3 separate regions of the Mus musculus genome follow, and regions 2 and 3 are each reported to be linked to region 1. Evidence: microRNA targets listed by miRTarBase, many of them from high-throughput screens and not tested one by one. Region 1 holds a microRNA gene; each other region holds the end of a gene's coding sequence.
The links. The annotated mature microRNA mmu-miR-330-5p reads UCUCUGGGCCUGUGUCUUAGGC and lies in region 1 at 1,802-1,823, opposite strand. An mRNA with a match to its seed (bases 2 to 7 or 8) in the 3' UTR can be bound and repressed. Matches are read on the target gene's strand: a 7mer-m8 pairs with bases 2 to 8, a 7mer-A1 pairs with bases 2 to 7 and ends in A, and an 8mer does both.

Region 2: the mRNA of Fbxl16 is a reported target of mmu-miR-330-5p. Seed matches in the 3' UTR shown: 8mer at 1,534-1,541.
Region 3: miRTarBase lists Ephb3 as a target of mmu-miR-330-5p. Seed matches in the 3' UTR shown: 8mer at 2,261-2,268 and 7mer-A1 at 2,241-2,247.

The regions. Positions count from the first base shown.
Region 1 is chr7:19,180,058-19,183,308 of GRCm38, reverse strand. It overlaps Mir330 (microRNA 330), which reads right to left and starts at 1,844; the gene lies at 1,747-1,844. Eml2 (echinoderm microtubule associated protein like 2) reads right to left here. Exons shown (of 22, transcript NM_001347582.1): 5 at 1,572-1,600; 6 at 910-1,039.
Region 2 is chr17:25,819,082-25,822,332 of GRCm38, reverse strand. It overlaps Fbxl16 (F-box and leucine-rich repeat protein 16), which reads right to left. Exons shown (of 6, transcript NM_001164225.2): 6 at 1,071-2,959. The coding sequence ends at 2,811. Among named protein-coding and RNA genes, the nearest start is that of Wdr24, 2.9 kb to the left of the region's middle.
Region 3 is chr16:21,222,107-21,225,357 of GRCm38, reverse strand. Ephb3 (Eph receptor B3) reads right to left here. Exons shown (of 16, transcript NM_010143.1): 15 at 3,054-3,209; 16 at 2,054-2,950. The coding sequence ends at 2,842. Among named protein-coding and RNA genes, the nearest start is that of Ephb3, 19 kb to the right of the region's middle.

The sequences.
Region 1 (3,251 bases):
GGGTTTCTCTGTATAGCCTGGCTGTCCTGGAACTCACTTTGTAGACTAGACTGGCCTCGAACTCAGAAATCCTCCTGCCCCTGCCTCCTGAGTGCTGGGATTAAAGGCATGCGCCACCACGCCCGGCTCTCATTTTTTCTTAGTCCTGAGTGTTTTCCTTGAATCTTTGCTTGCTGGTCCCAGTGCCTCTTTTTGAGAAACACTATCATTCCCCAGTGTGATACACCCCCACTGAAAGTGTCTAATAAAACTATTATTGTAGCTGGGTGGTGGTGGCACATGCCTTTAGTCCCAGTGTTCAGGAGGCAGAGGCAGGGGGATCTTTATGAGTTTGAGGCCAGCCTGGTCTACAGAGTTCCAGGACAGCCAGGGCTACACAGAGACCCTGTCTTGAAAAACCAATATATATGTATGTGTATATGTATGTATGTGTATGTATTTATGTGCGTATATACATGTATGTATGAATGTATATATGCGTGTATGTGTGTGTTAACCAATGTGCCCCACCCTCCAATTCTTCATTCCTGAGCTTAGCCCTGTGAAGACCTTCCACAGATAAACAGATCACAGAGTTTACACTGTCTGACTGATATCCATGAGAGCCAGATGTGGTGGTGCACAAAATCCTGTAATCCAAGCCCTTGAAGGTGCAGGCAGGAAGACCAAGTTCTCAAGATCATCCTTGAGTTAAACATTCCGCTTCAAACATTCCCTGAATGAGTCACTCACAGCAGGTGAGTCATTCTAGCTACTCTGTTTCCCTCTGGACTCCCTTCACCTTCCGACCCCCCACTTCCCCCACTGTGGCCTGAGAAAGCCCAGCTGTAGCCCTGCCCTGCGCCTCCCTCTCCGTACCAGGACTTACCCTCTTCCAAGAGGGCAGAAAGGGAGCTAGTCAAAGGATACACCCAGTCTAGCTTTAGCCGGCTGGAGGGCAGCTCAGAACGAGTGTCCAGGCTATAGGTGGGCGCCAGTTCGTCCGGGATCAGCATGGGCACAGGGCGTCCCCGCAGAAACATCTTTACGGATCCCTCCTCTGCCAAGACACCCTCGGAGGTCAGTTTCCACACCAGCCCCTAGGCTTGTTTGCACTCCTCTCATTGTTATTATTATTATTACTAACGTCATTATTATTATTTGAGACAGCTAGCCTGGAATTTAAGACAGGCTTGGAATTCACTCTGTAGTCCAAGCTGGCATGGAACTCAAGGTGATTCTTCTGCCTCTGACTCCCAAGTGCTGGGATTGCAAGTGTGAGCCATACAGCCAGATAATTATATAGAGATAGAATCTCTTTATATAGCCCAGGCTAGCCTTCCTTCAACTTCCAAAATGTCTCATGCTCCCAAATGCTGGGTTACTAGGTTAGACCAAACCTCCTTCCATCCATCCTTTCTTCCCTCCCCTTTCCTTCTCTCTTCTTTGCTTCTCTTCCTCCCTGTTCCCCTCCATCTTCCTTTCTGAACAGGTGCATAAACTGAAGGCAGACAACCAAAGGCCCAGAAGCCAGGACCCCAAGTCTTCAGCAGGCTACCATCATTGAACTCACGCCCATCCTCCACACTTACCCATGCTGAAGATAACTTCTTTGGTTTTCCTGTCAGGAAAAGATGCAGGGGAGAGAAAGAGGGGTAGGGGAGAAGAAGAAAATAAGTGTTTTAGCAAGCATATGAGATAGGACAAGGAATACTTCCCCTAACCCCGGGGCTCTGCAGGTCTGGAACGAATAATCAGGCGAGTAAGGAGCAGAGCGCTACCTCTCTGCAGGCCCTGTGCTTTGCTCGTTGGATCTTGAAGAGCCTAAGACACAGGCCCAGAGAGGCAGAGATCGCCAAAGGGTCACACAGCACGATGTGGCAGGCACGCGATCCTGGAAGACCGGAGTCACTAGGGACCCTCCCTCCTAGGCAACAGCAACAAAACGCTCCCCGGCGCTCCTTCCCTCCCTACCCAGCAACACCCCAAACTTCAAGCAGCCAGGAAGACGATGAAAAGTTCAGAGGAAGGGGCGTGTCTCCACCTTCTCTTCCTGAGGCGAGAAGGGCAGGAGGAGGGAGGAGGGGTGCTGAAAGAGGGTCTCACCCAATTCCAAAACTACTCATGGCGGCTGCTGGCGGAGCTTCGGGTCCGGGGTGGAGCCCGGACCGGCCCCGCCGCTTCCGGCCCTGGGAGTCGCCCGCGCCACCGCCCCTGCCCCGCCCCCCGCGGCTGACCCCTGCAGGCGTCAGGTGTCACTGAGTCCCATTGCCGGGACCAAGGAATCTAGACACAAGACTCTTTGTATAGGGTGAGGGGTAGATGACGGTTGATAGCACAGACTCAGAGGTGTGCTTGCCTGAGATCAGATCTCCCCAGTTCTGCCTCTTTTTCAAAGTATGAACAAGTTGCCCAACTTCTACCTCGGGTTCCTCATTTCAAAAACTGAATAGAATAGCTACACTTCCTAGCATGATTGTGAGGTTGATAGCTGCTAATGCGGGCAATCATCTGACTGAGAATGTGATTTTATTATTTCAGGAGACTTGGGTTTTGTCTTTAGACTTACTATAGCCTACTCTTAAGTCCTTGCTCCTTCTACGTCAGTATAGTTCCACCCTTACACATTGAGCCCTGCCTCTAGATACTTGACCACGTCCACCACTGCACACACCCACACCCTCTTTCTAACTTAGTACTGGACTAGCTCTGTCTTCTTGTCTGTGTTTGTCTCTGTCTCTTAAGACAGAGTCTCAAGTAGCTAGGTTGTCTTCAAACTGTAAACAGCCAAGGACGACCTTGAACCCGTGATCTTCTCTCCACTTACCAAGTCCTGGGATCAGAGCTGTGAACCCCCATGCACCGTATGTATGTATGTATGCATGTATGTATGTATGTATAAATCTGAGACAGGGTTTCACTGTAATCAAGGCTGGACTGAAACTTAAAGTGTAATCATGTAACCCAGTCTGGCTTCAAACTCCTGGCATCCTCTTGCCTCAGCCGCCGTTGTTACAGGCTTGAGCCATGGTCACTCCTGGCTTCCCTCTTAATAAACAATGTCACATCCACCTCTTTTCTTGGGTCGTATTAAGCAATCTGACTCTATCCAATTTCACTGGACAGGGTCCCAACGTTTTCCAAGCTATCCTGTAAGATCTGACACACACACCTAAGCCACGCCCAATCTTAAGCCACACCCACTATACCAAGCAACCTCTTTTGAAGTAGGGTTCTTGAAATGATAGGTCCCCGCCCTAGGTTCTGGTTCT
Region 2 (3,251 bases), not on the chromosome of region 1:
AATTTTGATTAGACAGGTTAATTAAGTGAACCCATGGGGGCTTTTGATTGCTGGACCTCAATACTTTGATAGCTGGGCCTTCATCGCCAGCCTCAGGAGTAGAAGTGGCCAAATAAGGGAACATACCATGGTGGCTAGCTCTAGGAATATAATCTAAGGTTTTTAGCAAGACAGAAGGCATTGCAGAGAAGGACAAAGCTGGCTAGCAGTCCTCCCTTCAGCACTTGCCCTTTCTCTTGAGGTGGACACAATAGTCTTGATCTTCTAGCAGTCTGTGATTATTTATTTATTTAATCTTTATTTGAGTGTGTGCACATGTAAATGCAAAAATGTGCCTGTGTGAGTTTTTATTTGTACCAATGTGTGTTCAGGTTCCCTAGGCGGCCAGAGAACATCATATCCCTAAAGCTAGAGTTACTGGGCAGCTTAAAGGCATCTGACGTGAGTGCTGGGAAACTGACCCCAGGTCTTCTGTAGGAACAGTAGATTCTTTGCACTACCGAGCCATCTATCCAGCATCACTGGATTATTTTAGAACATCACAATCCCTCACTTAGTGACCCCGTGCAGAAGATAAGGCTCATTTCTGCTCTTGGATAGCAAGATCCTAGATCCTTGTTTTCTTTTTCTTTTTTTTTCTTTTTTCTTTTTTTTTCTTTTTTCTTTTTCTTTTTCTTTTTCTTTTTTTTTCTGAGACAGGGTTTCTCTGTGTAGTTCTGGCTGTCCTGGAACTCACTCTGTAGACCAGGATGACCTTGAACTCAGAAATCCGCCTGCCTCTGTCTCCCAAGTGCTGGGATTAAAGGTGTGCGCCACCACCGCCCCTAGATCCTTTGGAAGACCTACATTTTGACATCAAACACATTGTTCCCTTTTGTGCATTCAGGACATTAGAGAACTTATGTTCGTCAGTTGCTAAGGTTCCAGTCCAGCCCTGAGCCTCCAACCTCTCCTGTTTATGGAGTACCTCTAATGATTTAGGAGGCAGGAAGACCCAGAGACCTGGGCCATCCAGGGCAGAGTTATCCCTTCCAACTTGGTCAGGTGACCAAAAAATAATAACCCACTTGTGTTTTTACAACTTTTTTAATATATATTTTTATAAACAGGTCACGTGATAAAATAGCACAAGAAACACTTACCAAATATAAGGTTATATCTTCCGCATATACAGGAGAATGAGGTCGTTATGTACAATAAGAAAATGATTTTAGGGGTTGGTTGGTTTTGTTTGTGTTCCTCTCTCCCCTTAAATTTTCCTCCTACAGTCATTGGAAATATCACAGCTTCAGTTGCATTAATACTTTGGGCAAATGGACAGCTTCCCCCTCCCTGTTGGGGGACTGTGGGAAGAGGGGCTGACAAATCTGGCTCCTGACCACTTCAGCCTGGGGCCTCCCTGGCCAACACTGCAGGGGCAGGGAACTCTTTGGGCTGTTGAATCTTTACTTTTCGTCAACAGCATCTCTCTCTCTCCTCTCTCTCTCTCTCTCTCTCTCTCTCTCTCTCTCTCTCTCTCTCTCTCCCTCTGGCTCTCTGGGAATTAGTTTACTCTCTTCCAACCAGATAGGGGTGTCCCAAGATTAGTTGTGGGTGCTGTGTCTCCTGGGGTTCAAGGTTGGGAGGGAAGGTTCCCAGTCCCTTCCTCGGTATTGTCACCTATATGCCAGGATCCCCTAGGACTTCCAAATTTCTTGAGACCTGACAGAACATGGTCACAAACCCTTTGGGCAGGCAAAGGTTTTGGAAGCTGGGAGAACTAAAGGAGGACTGGGAAGGAGCCCTCCTTCCCTGGGGTGTGAAGGGGGTGCTGGCCACTGGGAGATCAGAATCGCTGGTCAGTACTGACCCTGACTCATGGCCAGGCCCTCTGCAGATTCCACCTGAGGAGACCTATCCAGGGAGAAGCACAGTGCTGAGAGGCCTGAGCTCAGCTGGGGTAGGGGCTCAAATGGGTGGGCTGATCCCAAGGCCTGATAGCCCTGTGGGTGGCTCCAGATTGGGGTCTGCCAGGTGCCTATTCCACCCTTGCACTTAGGTGGATGGGCACCGGTTAGGCTAATGTTGATTGTTCCAAGGTCTGCGTCCTCCTAAAGCTGTCCCAACCTGGCCAGGGCCCAAGGATCTGTAGGCCAGGGGGAAAGAAGGAGATACGGGGGTAGGGGCGCAGGATACAGAGGACAAGAACTGACCTATATGGCAACAAGGAAGAAGGGAAGCCACTAGGTCAGGTGGGCATGGGGAGTTGGGCTCCTCAGGGGGCCATGGCTTTGGCAGTGGCCTGTGGCGCCTCATACCCTTTGGAGGGCTCCAGGCGCGGTGCAGTGGAAGATGTGGGAGGCCCTTGGGGGCTCTTCCAGGCCCCTAAGTCCTGGGGGACCAATCCCTCCATCCCCTTGGGCCCTGCCCGGGATGGGGGGACAGCGAGGGGAGGCAGAGAGCAGAATGAAGTGGGGAAGCCAGTGAGGGCATATGCACTCAAAGCATCCCCAAAAGGACCTAGACCCCCAGAAGGCGGGCGAGTGATGGCGGCGGCTGTGGCATGGTGGAGGGCGGGCGTGCAGTGCGGGCACGAGGGGCATGCACAAAGTCCCCGAGTGTGCGTGCGTGCGTGGGGCTGGCCCCTCTGCCTCTTGCCCCAGACAGGGAAGGAGCAGTTGAGCAGAGGAGCAAGGGAGGCACGGGGCGGGATTTCCCTCAGCTTGCCCCGCCTCCAGCGCAGGGCGGAGAAGAGATGCTCCGGCAGGGATGGAAGAAGGGCTACTGCCCAGGGCGTGGCCGGTTCCCGCGGCCGGGTCGGGAAGCCTGCGCTATTCAATGACGAGGCAGCGCGGCAGGTGCTGCGAGAAGTACTTGAAGAGCTCGGGTGTGGCTCCAGGGCAGTTGGTCAGCTCCAGCTCCTCCAGCTCTTGCAGTTGCACGAGGCCAGATAGCCCGGTGGTAGTTAGGAGCGGGCAGCCTGCAAGCATGAGGCACGGGGACAGCCGCTCAGCAGTTCAGTTCCGCCTGGCGGGAGGACTGGACTGGGCTGGGCAGGTGGGAAAGGCTGAAGAGGACAATGACCTGCTAGGGGTGGATTCTACTGGGCTTGCTGAATGAGGCGGGACCTGTACCGGGCGTGGAGGGGTGGGAATCTGACAGGATGGGCGGGACCTCCACCAGGGAAGGATGTGTTCAGACTTGGCCTGATGCAGGGTAGATCTGAGCAGGGCGTCACCAACAGGGCTTGGATTCACCCTCTAACCCGCTAC
Region 3 (3,251 bases), not on the chromosome of region 1:
AGAGAGAGAGAGAGAGAGAGAGAGAGAGGATGTTTTTTGCTCCACACCCGGCCTGGGCTCTGTGTAGGCTGCGCTTCCTACTACACTACACTACCCCAGGTCTTACTCAGCACCTGGCCTCAGCAGGAAAGGGCCTGCCTCTCCCCTCTTCCCCACTGGCTTCTCTTTTAAATCATTGACTGGGGAGAGCTAATCTGCCCCAGAGTGTGTAATTAACGGAAGACTAGACAGACTGAGAACTCCATCCCCCCCTACTCCTTATCTGCCTGTAGGGAAGCTGGACCCCTCCTGGGGTGCTCTCTCTTCCTCTGCCAAGACCCTGCTTCCCTCACTACTTTGTTCTGAGGTTCTAGGGTCTGAATACATCCCAGCTCTCTAGACAAAATACCAGTTGGCTCTATCAGCTGGCAGGAATGCAGTGACTCTTGCAGGCCCCTCCCCTCATTATTTCTGAGTCCTGGGAAACCCTGCAGGTACCCAGGCTAAGAGGGGGGCTAGGGTGGACAGACTGAGGGCATGAAAACGGGTAATGTAAGTGGTGTGTGGATAATGGAATAGGCTTAGAGTACGTGCATGTACTCTGGCTGACAGTGGCAGGAGACTGTGGGAAGACAGGGGAAGACATTCATACCCCCATAAAGAAAGAAATCATGCAGGCTTCAGTGGGCTGGACGGAGCTGGAAGAGCACTTGAGCACCTCTAGCCTTAGGCTCCAGTCCACCCTGCAGATCCTGGCCTCGCTCTGAGTGGATCTCCACAGTCAGCATTGTGTGGGGTGGGACAATGGAAAAATTACCCAGGAGACAGGAGCCACAGACCTCTCACTGATCCAGAGGGCCACCCTCCCAAGAGTAGGAAGCAGGCTTGGGACCTGTGAACTCTCAGCAAGGGAATGGCAACCATGCCCACATCCCTTCTCCTGTACCCCTATGCCCACACCACTGACGACAGCACTGGAAGATGACTGGGGAGCTCCTGCCCACCCCCTCCCTGGAGCATGGGGGCTACTGAGGATCCACGTTGTGGGTGCACCCCCCTCACGGTGAGTATGTACTGCAGGACTCTGGGCACCGAATGCAAGGGGTAGAGAGGCAGTCTTGAGAACCTGTCTGCCAGGGGTTGGTGAAGGGACCCAGGAGGAGCCAGAAACACCAGACTGAGGTGGCCACACTTGACAACCCTTGTACATGCCCATGTTACTAGGCCTTCCTGGTCCCTCCCAGTGAAGGGCACTCTAAGTTAGGATTCACAGATATTTCAGAAAGCTCTTCTAGGCAGCACCTATGGTTACTCTGGGAGGACTGCATCTGTTATACCCTGCCCGCTTCTGTTTGTTGGTCCAAAGGGACCTGCATCTCTCCCTGTGAGGGTGTCCTCCCCTGCACTCTCACCCTGCCACCACTGGTTAAAACAGACCCAGGGTGCATACACTCACTTCCTCCAGCCCATTCCATTACCCAGGATCATGGATGTCCCTTTTCATTTCCATATCCTGACACGCACAAGTCTTCCTTTGACTCCAGAGACTTCAGACCTCTTCCGGACTCTTGATATGCATCTCCCAAGCCTCTCCAGGCTGTCTATAGACAGGGGTTTCCAGCCTCTGGCTCTAGTGCTGGATGGGAACTGTGGCCAACTTACTAAACATCTCCCTCTTCTCCTGGCTGGGTTACTGAGTTGAAATAAGATGTGGATGTAAAATTGGCTTTGGCTCCAAGACTGGGTGCACTCAGTGCTTAGTGAAGGAAGAGGAGCCATACTGAGACCCTGGGGAGTGATTAACCCTCTAGCTCTCCCTCAGGGACTCTACAGAACACCACGCAGACTCCAGAGCCTGTCCCCCAGCCCCAGAAACAAGGAACTTCTGAGAACTCTATTAGATGCTCAAAGCAATGGGGCTGAACTACAGGAGAAATCGGGCCTGGATAGCCTCGCTGTAGTTTCCCACTGACCCCCAGGAAGTTGTGAAGGTCTAGCAGCCCCCTAGTTCCCTCACTGACATGAGGAAATCAAGGAAACCTGCTTTGGGAGGAAGAACGAGCAGGGGCAAGAGTCATCTTATTGCCTTTATTTTGCTGTCTGCCCAGCTGGCCCCACTACAGGGCACAGGGCCAAGCTTGTACACACTCATGCTCTCTGTGCAGGCAAGCATGTGCACAACACACACATACATACCCCCACCCCCGTCTTTCACACACACACACACACACACACACACACACACACACACACACACACAGTCTCTGGCTCTCTGAGTCAGTCTCTGGGAGGCACAGGCTGCTTCTCAGCCTGCTCCTGCCTGCCCTTTTATGACAGCACCAAGGGTAGGCAGGGCCCTCAGCCCCCATCAAGTCCCTGTGCAAACTGGAGGTACCAGCTGGCTTCAGGATGGGGCACCATATCTCCCCATCCCCAGAGTCTCCTCCTCCACTTCCTGGGGGAGGGAGTACTCTCTGCTTACCTGGTGGGGTCAGACCCCTGCCAGGGCTGGGGCCTGAAGAACCCAGGCTTATCCCCACCTGACCCTACCAGGACGTCCATTACTGAAGCGCAGCCCAATCTGAGTTGTGAAGACTCCCCACTGGAGAGCAGGCAGGCCTGGGCCCCAAGGCATCTGGGGAGGGGACATCACCCCCTCTTCTAATCCATCTTCAATATGAAGAGGTTTGGGGCACACTTCCTGGGAGGGAGCACAGGCCTGGAGAAGTCACAGCTAGGGTCCTCCCCCAAACTTCCATCTTCTGGGCCACAGCCAGAGGCCAGGCATCCAAAAGTCCAGCTGGCTGGTCAGAATCCTTGTGCAGTCCTGGGGGGGCACCCCCCCCTCGTTGGAGCTGAGTGTCAGACCTGCACAGGCAGGGTCTGGTTCATCTGCAGCCGCATGTCCTGGATACTGCAGAGGATCTTCTTCTGGTGCCCAGCCAAAGTGACCCCAATCCTTAGCAGATCTCTAGAGACAGAAAAAAATGGTACTCAGTCCCTCCCTTCTACCCGCGACGCTGGGCTCAGCCAGAGTTCCTGCCCAGAGCCTGCACCTTGAGCGGTACACTTACTCTGCAGTCATCTGGGCCACCAGGTCAAAGGATGCAAACCCAGCACCGACAAAGCTCTCTTTATACCTCCCCATCTTGATGGCATCTAGCCAGTCACCCACTGTCGTGAAGGTCGTATAATCTGGGACTGTGCGGTCCAGGAGGGGCTGGGACATGCTGTGACAAAAAAAAAAGAGTGACCTGGTGCATCCATGGAGC